2 linked regions of the Sus scrofa genome follow. The protein of the gene in region 2 purifies or fractionates together with the protein of the main gene of each other region. This does not show direct contact. Links are inferred from orthologs where the notes say so. Each region holds a gene or a part of one and is shown on either strand. Other genes may lie near its edges.

What was found.
Region 1: the proteins of PAG1 (region 2) and FYN purify together in Homo sapiens (co-immunoprecipitation; 3 studies listed by BioGRID and IntAct, with this or other methods). This does not show direct contact. The link is inferred for Sus scrofa from reciprocal best matches to the Homo sapiens genes PAG1 and FYN.

What each region holds. Positions count from the first base shown.
Region 1 is NC_010443.5:77,638,708-77,644,818, reverse strand, and holds the start of FYN (tyrosine-protein kinase Fyn), read left to right. Parts: upstream 1-2,476; coding exon 2,477-2,723; intron 2,724-6,111. UniProt on the Homo sapiens protein: Non-receptor tyrosine-protein kinase that plays a role in many biological processes including regulation of cell growth and survival, cell adhesion, integrin-mediated signaling, cytoskeletal remodeling, cell motility, immune response and axon guidance.
Region 2 is NC_010446.5:55,606,671-55,612,310, forward strand, and holds part of PAG1 (phosphoprotein associated with glycosphingolipid-enriched microdomains 1), read left to right. Parts: intron 1-4,102; coding exon 4,103-4,471; 3' UTR 4,472-5,640. UniProt on the Homo sapiens protein: Negatively regulates TCR (T-cell antigen receptor)-mediated signaling in T-cells and FCER1 (high affinity immunoglobulin epsilon receptor)-mediated signaling in mast cells.

The sequences.
Region 1 (6,111 bases), on a different chromosome or scaffold from region 2:
CTTCTTAAATCTAGATTTCTTGACCTTGACCCACCCACATTTGGGACTAGGTAGTTCTTCGTTGTTAGAGGCTGTTCTGTTCAGCTTAGGATGTTTAGCAGCTTCCTTGGTCTGTTCCCACTGATGCCAACAGTACCCCTTACCCTCAAGCTGTGACAATCAGTATGTCCCTTGGTGGGAGGGGCAGCCAAGTCACCCCCAGCTGAGACCCATAAATGATATGATTCTGTGATTCAGGTCTCATGACCCCTGATTACAGCAGGTCAGTGCAATCCCTGAAAAAAGCACCTGAGACAAGCAGTATCTGCTGTTGGCCTTTGAAGGAGCTTGAGGGCAACTTTCCACCAGGAAAGAGTTAATATAAAGCAAGTCTTATGAAGCAGTCCCAACAGCAAATGATGCAACTCCTCCAGTCATGCCTTGGAGATATTTTGCATTTCCTATTGGAAACTTGTTAAAATTGTATCCATTTACCATAAACTAGAGAGCAAGTCAGACACAGTACACTGTAAATTAATCTGGAATGACTTACACATAAATGTGTTCCAGCTTTGGTGAGCTCAGCTCAAGCAGCACGCGGCTCAATTCCAGACGTTTCCATCCTTAGGAACTAACATGTAATTCAATAAGTATTTATTGAAACATGCAGTAAACGTGGGCTTCTGTGACCCCAGTGAGCAGTGCTCAGAATAGCACTCCCGAGAGTCTCCATATCTGATGTGGCACCCCCATTTTGGTTGGCAAGGTATGATAGAAAAACTGGCTCTTTCATTCCCCTCCACCACCTCAAGTCCTTTCCCATCGTGCACCAGCTGTGCCTTCCCCAGTGAGTACGTGTAATTTTACATGATGTCATGTGTTTCTTAGTTGGTTCTTTGGTCCCCAGTGGGCCACTTTTCAGAGTTTTGGCAGGGACAGTCATTGCATGTTCTCTCTCCCCACTGTCAGCTTGACAGGGTCTTACAGGGTATTGTATTCCAAAGTGGGATCATTTAACCAACTTACCTTCTATTTTTGAATCTTCTTCACTTCTCACACATACCGATAGATTCAAAAACACAGGGCATACTGCCGATAAAAAGCTCCTGGAAGAAGGGTTGGCCTTGACGCAGAGAGAAAGAAAAGGTGAAAGAAAAACAGTACATTAGGGAATCTTCACTTAGTTGCGTGCTCTTTTTTTAAGCACCTACTGTGCACCAGGCACCAGCAATATACCTATGACAAAAAATGGACTGGGCCCTGCTTTCCCAGCGCTCCCAGTCTATTGGGCATTAAGACAAGTGAACCCGCCATGTTTCAACATGGCGAGATAGGGGCTGTAATAAGGGAACTCAAGATGCTGTGGGAGCACCTAGGAAGGGCTCCACCCCAGCCTGGGGGATGTCAGGGGCTTTGTAGAGAAAGCAGTGTCTAGACCAAGATATGAGGGATATTGTATATCAAAGCGGGGAATGTGTTCAAAGCCACATCCTGAGGACTAAAGTCTGGTGGGAAGAATAGACCTTTGAAGAGTTGAGAAGTTCGACATGTTTGGATAATAAAGTGTGAGACAGGAAGAGTCAGACATCAACAAAGAGGAGCCAGTAAGGACACTTTTCAGGATTCTGACTTGAACGCATGGGCCATTGGTGGTGCCCCATTTACTGAGATGGGCGCAAAACACGTAGATTTGGTCTCAAGGAGGGTGGGGTGACAGTGATTCAAGTTTTAATTCACCACTAATTCTAGAACATGAGAAAGATTTTTTTTAATGTTTCTGAAAGATGTCAAAAGCTAATGGAAATTAGGAAAATTAATTAGCAGGTTTAAATGATTTTGTTACTCTAGGCTATCATGACAGCCTGCACACATACTCAGACCTCTTAGTTTCTGCCAGTTGTTATTTCTTCATCCAGCAATCATTTCTTTATTGATACTTCATCTGATTGCTTAAAATTTATCAAACGTGTGCCTGAAGAATGAGTCTCCATGGATGCAGGGCAGTGAGCTGTTGAGGGGCCGTATTCCAGCTTTCCCAGTACTCCTGGACCCTCTTCTGTAGATTTCCTTTGCCAGGTGCAGGAGGCACTGAGCCTATGGCATAGGCTCGGTTTTGAGAGCAAACACTATTTTTTAAAATGACTAGAGAAAAGCGTAATAGGTTAGTTATTAAGGACTAATGAGTGGGCTGTCTTTAGGCAGATGTGTGACGTTCCAGAATTGTAAGTAAGGGTGCAGACCTCTGAAGAAAGATGCTGCTCTGTGAACATGGCTGATCCCATCACTGGGAGCCTGTGGGGAATGACTGATTGTCCAGGGCACTGAGATTGCTTCCGACCCTCAACCCTTGCCACTGCTTTTCATGCTGCTCTAGGTCTGAAATACCCAACGGTGAGCTGTGTAAATGATTCCTCTTTAATCATCAAGCAACCCAGCCAAGAGGGAGCGTCCAGGTTCATGGGGTCTTTTTTGTTTGTTTTCACCAGGAATTTAGATAATGGGCTGTGTGCAATGTAAGGATAAAGAAGCAACAAAACTGACGGAGGAGCGGGATGGCAGCCTGAACCAGAGCTCCGGCTTCCGCTATGGCACAGACCCCACTCCTCAGCACTACCCCAGCTTCGGCGTGACCTCCATCCCAAACTACAACAACTTCCATGCAGCCGGGGGCCAAGGACTCACCGTCTTCGGGGGCGTGAGCTCTTCGTCTCACACTGGGACCTTGCGTACGAGAGGAGGAACAGGTCAGAACCCAGCTGCCCCTTAAGTCTTCTGGCGGTTGAACATTTGTGTTCCTTTGATGAGGGACTCAATGTTTTATGTTTTCAGTCATTCTCCAGCCTCTGCCAGATAAGGGGCTGTTAAAAAAGCCAGAGCCAAGGGGAAAGGGGGAGAAAGTGGGATGGACAGGGAGTTTGGGGTTGGTCAATGCAAAGGATTACATTTAGAATGGATAAGCAATGAGGTCCTGCTGTACAGCACAGGGAACTCTATCCAGTCTCCTAGGATAGACCGTGATGGAAGATAACGTGAAAAAAGAGTGTATATATATATGACTGAGTCACTTTGCTGTATAGCAACAAGTGATGCAACAGTGTAAATCAACTATACGCTAATAAAAAAGAAAAAAATCTAACCCTCCGCCCAAAAAAGCCAGAGCTCAGTGTACAAATCTTGATGCTGGCAACAGTAGTGTGGGGGCCCCCAGTTGCTGCCCTCTGAGATCCTTCGAGGTTACGGGAGAAAACCTGCTGCTGAGGCCCTTGAGGCCAGTGGTGGTGCGCCTTGGCTGGCTGCCTCCAAATAACTGAGCGGCTTTTCCAAAATGCAGATGCCTGAGTCCCAACCCCAGGGCTTTGGAATCAGAGGTCCTGGGACTGTATCTGAGCGTGGATGTTCTGAGTTCTCCAGACAAATGCACTTCTTCCCTGAATCCCACCCCCACCCGCCGTCCCATTCAGAGCATTTCAGGGTGGTGCTCTGCCTCTCCGCTTCCTAACTCCCAGCCTGCCCATCCCTCCAGAGTCCTGGGGCCATTTGGCCATGTTGTCCTTCGGCTGTTCACCTTCATGGGTTCTCTGCTCTTCCCATCATCTTCCACATGACTGACTTTATCAGCCCCATTTTTCATGTATCTTTTTTGTATTTTAAAATCAAATCTAATGTATCCTTAAGGGATCTTCTGTCTCTCTCTTTTTTTTCTTTTAAGATTTCCTTCTCTCTCCCAAGGCTGTGTTTCACTGCCATGTGCATTTGCTGACTTAGCTAATACTTTGGAAACTCTCTGGCATGTGTTCTCAGACATATGTTTTCTGAAATATTTGTAAGTTATCTCATGCATCCTTAGTCTTCCAGATCCTCTCCCAGTATGTGAACCATGGTAACTAGATGTTTGACATTATTTGTTCCAAAATTGGTGTATTTATTACAAAAGTTTTTAAAAATATACATCAACCCTTATGCTCTCAGCTTGTGTGGGAGCAGATGTCCTCCATAACGACCCATTGTGCCTTTTTAGCTGGGGAGTTGCCACTACTGAGTCCTCAGCAATGGTTTTCTTCCTCTACACCCAACAGAGCCGTGTGGTTCTGTCAAGGGGACCTGACCCACAGCTTCAGGCATTTCACTACTTCTGTTCTGCCAGCACATCACATACTGCTTGGGAGAAAAAATGTTTATGTTCATCCTTGCATCCTGGTGCATTATGCATCCAGCTGTCCCTATAAAGCAGGCCTGAAGGGTGGCAGGGTGACTGAGGCCTGGACACCCTTCCTCCTCATCCTTCCAGCCTTCCTGGGAGGCACCTGGGCTGAAGGGCTGAAGGAAAGAGGCGGCCCAGCAGTCTAGGGACGTTTGTCTCTGGAGGATGCAGGAGGGGAAAAAAGCCAGAAATGCACCCAGACCACACTGTGCCTGTTGGGAGAAAACAAGTGCTTTGCCAGCCAGACTCCGATTCTGCTGACACAGGCACTGACCTTGTGCGTTCATGCACAAATGCTCGACATGAATCCTGTGTCTGCAGGTATTGTTCATAAAGTCACTAGAGAGGACTCCTCGGTTGAACGTGGGTCTGTAACACAGTCAGGGACAATGTTCGTACAAGAGGGCATCTGATTCCTTAGAACGTGTGAAAGCCGAAACAAGACCCCCCCAAATGCTGGTGGATGTTTCTGCCTGGGTTATTTGGCTTGAACACATGTGCATGCCTTTCTCCTTCATGCTGTTTTCAGTGCTTTAAGGCCAGGAGCAGTGTCTGTGTCTCCCTGCAGCCTCCTTTGCCTCCCCCTCCAGCCCTAGAGGATAAAAACCCCCAGTGAGGACCTGCTGGCTGCTGCAGGGAGACGTGGGCGAGGGCTGGTATTGTCCGCATGCCCCTTGTCTTCCACACCACGGGGCTTGGAATTGTTTTTAGATTCTGAACTGAAGGGTGTCTGTTCACAGTGTGTTCATGAGGATGGGCATGGCCTCACAGGCTCCCATTCTGTTTTCAGCCAGAATCTTTTTTAATCTTTCAAAGAAATCTCTGAAAGGTTTTGCATTTTTGTCAAACAAGCCCTGCCGCCCTGCACGGTCAGACCTTCTGCGTGCCAGCCCTCCGCAGGAAGGCCCACTTGGGGTTGGGGGGCGCAAGCCCTGCTTCCCCCTCCAGGTCTGGAACAGTCCCTGGGCACATCCGTTCCCTTGGAGCTCCCAACGTAGCAGAACGGGAGCTTGATGAAGAGCAGAACCCACAGCAGGCGTTCTTCAGCCACATGAGGCACTTCGGGGTGCAGGGAGATCAAAGTGAGAAGCCAGAACGTAGAAAAATGGGGTGTATTCGTTATTAATGGCTGCACAACAAACAATCACAAAGCGTAGCAGCTTCAAAAGGAAAACACATCTATTACCCTGCCGTTCGTGTGGGTCTGAGGTCCAGGGATGACTCGGCAGGTTTCTCTGTTTCAGAAGCTCTCCCAGGCCGCAGTCAAGGTGCGTTGGCCAGGCTGCAGTCCTCTTACTGTTCCTCTGAGAAGGATCTGCTGCCAGGTTCATGGGGTGTTTGCAGGACTCAGCTCCTCATTGGCTGCTGGCCAGAGGCCACCCTGAGTTCTTTGTCATGTGGGCCTGGCCAGCCTGGCAGTTTGCTTCATCAGTGTGATCAAGCCCAAGCAGCAGTGCAGAAGAGTCTGGCGGAAGACAGAAGTCACCGTCTTTGGAAGTGGAAGCCTATCCCTTGCAGGACATCCCGTCACCTGTGCCACGTTCTCTTGGTTAGAGGCAAATTACCGTGTTCAGCCCACACTTGAGTGAAGGGATCCTGGGAGGTGGATGTCACCAAGGGCTGTCTTAGAATTCCGCCGATGACATGGAGCAAGTCCTAGGCCAGGCAGGGCACTGGATATTCCTCACTGTCGATAGCAAACCTCTGCACAGCAGGACCGGCCTCTATGAGGCATCTGACAGATGAGAAGTCACAGGGAAGGTCTGAGGAAGGGCAAGGACTGTGATTCAGCACGAGGAGGGGCACGTTCAAGGTGGAAAGAGAGAGGGAGACCCAACGCAAGAGCAGGTGCAACGGCAAGACTCCTCTGACTGCACTGAGCGTTTACGGAGAGGGGCTTCTCAGCACCCAGGCTACAGAAGAGTTTCCTG
Region 2 (5,640 bases):
GAATTAAGAGACCTAGAAGCTAATCCTTTAAAATCAATCCAGACTATGTAAAATTTTAAATTACTTTTCTCTTACCTTACATTTGTTTGTGGCTTTTAAAAAACAGGGCCAAGTTCTACTGATGAATGCTTAACACAGAATAAAGAACGGTGATTCCCACATACTCATTTTAAGAAGATTTAGGAAGAATGAATATGGAAATTGTTTATTTTTATATTCATGTAATGTAACAGTATACAGTCCAGACTAAAAATGAGACTTGAATTTTAAGTACTATTATCCCAATTTAATAAAATGATGGGGAAATGGTTGATTACAAAAAGAAAGGAAATGAGGAAAAGGGAGTAATTTATGAGCACCTAGTAACAACTTTAGACTGAATAATAATGAAGATTTTAAGGAGAAAAATTGGCATATGTACAGGAGGTATATGGAATGACTGGCCAATGGGGACCTGCCATATAACACAGAGAACCCTACCCAGTATTTTGTGATAAACTATGTGGGGAAAGAATCTGAGAAAAAATGGATGTGTGTATGTGTATAACTGAATCACTTTGTTATACAGCAGAAATTTTCACATTGTAAATCAACTCTTCAATAAAACTTTAAAAATGAAAAAAAAAGAAAAATTGGAAAATTAAATGGCAAAGAGGCTTGAAGAGAAACCTATTTCAGAATAAAAATAATAGTCGTAGAAGACAAATATTTAAAAGGAATATCAGAAGACTTGAAAAACGATTAGAGTTAAAATTTACAAAGACACCCTCTGCACATTCGGTTCGTGTCCAGAGGTAATGTTAAGTTGCAAGTTAAAGAAAGAGCCTGTAATTTAAAAAAAAAAAAAAAGTAAAATAAAATAAAATAGGAGTTCCTACTGTGGCACAGCCGGATCGGTGGCATCTCTGGAATGCTGGCACCCAGGTTCGCTTCCAGGCCTGGCACAGTGGGTTAAGGATCTGACATTGCTACAACTGTGGCTTGAATCTGATCCCTAGCCCGGAAACTTCAAATGCCATGGGGTGGCCAAAAAAAGAAAAAGAAAAATTAATAAATAAAATTAAAAAGGCTGTAAATGCCAAGAGACCCAACAAGTAGGAGGCATTAATAGCAGAAACCATGGGGAGGAAAGTAGAGAAGAGAAACAGAAACCAGAAACGGTAGAGAGGGACCCACTCTTGTTTCCCTCGTAGGTAAAGGTGTGTTTGTCGTCTTTGATGTTACCCCTGAAAGTAGGAATAAAAATGAGATGCTGGCTACCCTCTCACAGTCATCCATGACTTACCCTTTTATAATCTGTCCACATTTTTGGCTTGAACCACCTTTTAAATAAAACTTTCCATATGTTTTCATCTCACTATGAAAAGTGGAGGTTTTTTTATTTTATTATTAGTCCTAAATTGAAAGAAATTCTCATTCTTCATTTTGAAGGTCATTTTTTCATGGAAAACCTCTAAGGTGAGAAGGTTAATTTGATAGTCATGAAAATGGTCTGATCAACAGGGCAAGAGTTTCCCAAAAATTATTTCTCTGACTGGAAACCTTTGGCTGGTGAAGGCCTGGCAAATCTGAGCCACCAGCCTGTAGTGAAAAGTTCTCATGCAAATGACCAGTTAACATGCATCAGGCGTGACTTAAGAAGCTTCGGAGGCCAGCTGGAAGCTTCCTCCGCAGTATGTGAAACGTGTGAGAGCAGGACAGTCTCTGCACTTGCAAAGCCAAGCATCTGTCAGCAAGTATGTTCACTTATTTCCTGGGTGTTGGAATAAACCAATGGCTACGGCAAAGATAAATACAGGTAACGAAGGATATTTTTACTTCCTTCCAACCATGATTTCTAACAATAAAACAGTATCCCCTCAGAGTCTCAGTCCATTTATTTTTATTACCAAAGAAAATAAAATCTCTCCCGATATGAGTGCTATATGAGATTTATTAGGGAGACTGAGTAGGTAGGTGTGCTTGGAAAACAGCCTTCTCTTCCCTCAGGAAGGAGGGGTCCCAATGAAAAACATTTAGCCTTGCTTGTAAATGTCTATTTAACCAACAGTATGCAGTGAAATTTTTTTAAAAGTAGTAGAGCAGTAGAAAATGATTCTCTGACAGATGTATGTATATTGGCAACCGGAATCCAGGAACTACTCTTTTGAACCATTGTGATACAGGAAAAGTGTATCAAATCATCTAGTTCAGAGTTTCTCACACTTCATTGGACATCAGAATCAGCCCTTGTGAGTCCCACCCCCAGAGTGTGTGATTCTGTGGTTCTGGGGTGGGACACCAGAATTTGCCTTGCAAATAGATTTCCAGATCCTGCCGCTGCTGGTTTGAACCCCCACTATTGAAAATCACTAGTCTAGTATATGTTTTCTACCCTTTTTGGTAAAATATCATTCTTTTTTTATGATTAAAGTATGGTTGATTTACAGTGTTTCTTCAGTTTCTGTTGAACAGCAAAAGAAAAAAACAAAAACCTGATGCTGCTGGTCAGGTGCCTGGGGGGCTTGAGCTGCCTACTCTACCTGCTCTCCTCAGATCCCTCAGCAGACCTGGAGGGAATCTGATTTTCATGGAATGATGCTAATTGCCAAGTTGTAGATAGCACATGTAATTGTTCTTTAGTTTTGTACTTCAGGATTAGGACAAATAATGAAGGACCAACTTCTGGGTATATATTTGAAGGAAATGAAATCACTATCTGGAAGAGGTAACTGTAACCCATGTTCATTGCAGCACTATTCACAATAGCCAAGTCATTGTGTCCATTAATGAATGGATACAATGTAATTACAATAATGGAGTAATAAAGAAAATGTAATTTTTGTACACATGCACACATACATAGGTATACATAATTAATGGAATATTATTCAGCCATGAAAAAGAAAAACCCTGCCATTTGCAGCAACATGGGTGGACCTTAAGGACACTATTGAAATAAGTCAGACAGAAAAAGACAAATACTGGATGTTTTTTATTTATGTGGAATCTAAAAAAGCCAAACTCAACAAAATTTAGTGAAAATAAATAAATAAGCCAAATGCATAGAAATAGACCAGAATGGTGGTTGCCGCAGGCTGGGGAGTAGAAGAAATGGGAAAATGCTGGTCAAAAAGGGTCAAACTTCTATAAGTTCTATATATAATGTACAACATGGTGACTGGAATTGATAAGATTGTATTATATACTTTAAAGGTTTTATTTTTGTTTTTGTTTTTTGTCTTTTTAGGGCTGCACTCATGGCATATGAAAGTTCCCAGGCTAGGGGTCAAATCGGAGTTGCAGCTGCTGGCCTACACCACGACAACAGCAACATGGGATCTGAGTATATCTGTGACTACACCACAGCTCATGGCAATGCTGGAACCTTAACCTGCTGAGCAGGGCTAGGGATCAAACTTGAGTCCTCATGGAAACTAGTTGGGTTCATTACCACTGAGCCACTGAGGGAACTGCCTGTACTTGAAAGTTGTTAAGAAAATAAAGTTTAAATGTTCTTATCACCACGCACCAAAAAAAAAAAAAAAAAAAAAAAGGTAATTGCAGTAATGGAGTTAACTAACCTTCTTGTGGTAATCATTGCACAGTACTTCACAGTATGTGTATCAGACCAGCCTCCTGTATACCTGAACCTCACATGTGTTAAATGTCAGTAAGAACTCAATAAAGCCTGGGAAGAATCAGAAAAAAAATCTTAGAGTTCCCATTGTGGCTCAATGGTAATGAACCCAACTAGTATCCATGAGGACTCAGGTTCAATCCCTGGCCCTGCTCAGTGTGTTAAAGACCTAGTGTGTTGCTGTGAGCTGTGGTGTAGGTTTCAGATTTGGCTCAGATCTGGCGTTGCTGTGGCTGTGGCATAGGCCAGCAAGCGACAGCTCCGATTAGACCCCTAGCCTGGGAACTTCCATATGCTTCGGATGCAGCCCTAATAGGGGAAAAAAAAAAATCTTAAAGGGACACACACACTCACACATTCCCCCCGCCCCCCAATAATGCTTAAGACTCTAGTTTGTCATTAAAAAGGGGGCGGGAGGGGGAGGGAGAAATCAAGCTTGAAGCTTCTTTATCACTTCCCACCTGTTTTTTTTTTTTTTTCCAGATCTCAGCCATGTACTCATCAGTAAATAAACAAGGACAGTCAGGGAACAAATCGGGACAGTCACTTAAAGCACTGGAATCCACCTACACCTCCATCCAAGTGGCTGCTCAGAGGTCGCCCTCCTCCTGTAACGACCTCTATGCTACAGTTAAAGACTTTGAGAAAACCCCAAACAGCGTCAGCACACTCCCAGCAGCAGGGAGGCCCAGCGAGGAGCCGGAGCCGGATTATGAAGCAATACAGACTCTTAACAGAGAGGAAGAAAAGGCCGCCCCGGAGACCAGCAGTCACCGCAGCCTTTGCCCAAAGGAGAATGACTACGAGAGCATCGGGGACTTGCAGCAAAGCCGGGACATCACCAGGCTCTAGCAGCCAGACTGGAGGATGGCTCAGCCAGCGTAGGACCAGCTGTCGGGGACAGTGCCGCTGCAGAAAAGAAGCGACGTCAGCCACTCCTTATATGCTGCTTTAGGAAACGGAAACGATTGGAGACTCCAGAGCTGCTTGTCAGTTTGGGGAACAGTGAAGGTACATACCCTGCTGCCAGGCCCTGGCACACCCCAGCACACTGCCCTTCCCGCCCCCGCTCCTTCTGGAAGGATCTCAGCTGTCAGCAGCCTCGCCCTGTTCATGAAGGAACCTTTGCAGTGCGGAAGAAGGGCTCTCATCACAAACCACAGCTCACCTCCCTGAAACACTGCCATTCTCCGGAGCTGGGGTTCCCTTTTGGCTCTCTGCTCCTAATGGTAAAATGAATGGCTTTTTCCCCCCCTGGAAATCTGATTTATAATGGTTCTCTCCAAGGATGTTCTCCCGCAAGGCTGGGCCTTGGCCTTCAGCACAGGTGTTTGACAGTGGTGAGAAACTGCGGTTGTGGTTTGTCAGCTCCCCGCCCCCCTCAAAGGGCTGCAGCTGGGAATCGGAGCCCAGCGGCTGGGGGCTGCGATGGGGGGGACACCGCTTGAGTTCCTTCGCGCTTCATTCCTTCTGATTTTGGCACTCCATGTGTGCAGCCTCTCCCAGAGTACTTGAAGTCATTTTTAGATGCTTTATTTTATTTTTATAGTCAAAATGTTTTGGTCCCCCTGTATTTGAAAGCCTTCAGAGCCTTTTCAGTATTTTCAGTGAATACTATGGTACTTCTGTACTTGTTTTAGCCCAGAGCTCACTGCTCCAAAACAGAGAGCCTTAATCTCTATCTTGGGACACAGACCACACATTTGGCTGGCAGCCACTGCATCCATCTCCCCAGGGCTTTGGACTTGAATGTGTACTTCTGATGATCTCTGCTGCCACACCAAAACGGAGTGGAATTTCCTAAAGGAACTGCTACCCTAAGGTAATCTATCTGAGATTAAAATATAAACATTTATTTTTCTTACATAAATTTATAAGGTATTTTATGTTTAACGCCTAATTTCTAGAAAGTGCCAGATAAAAATGTATATTAACTACTTTGATTTTTATGTACAATGATTTATATTGTCATTTTGAAAAGACACCATAAAGCACATAAGCTGGATAATTTCAAGTGGCTG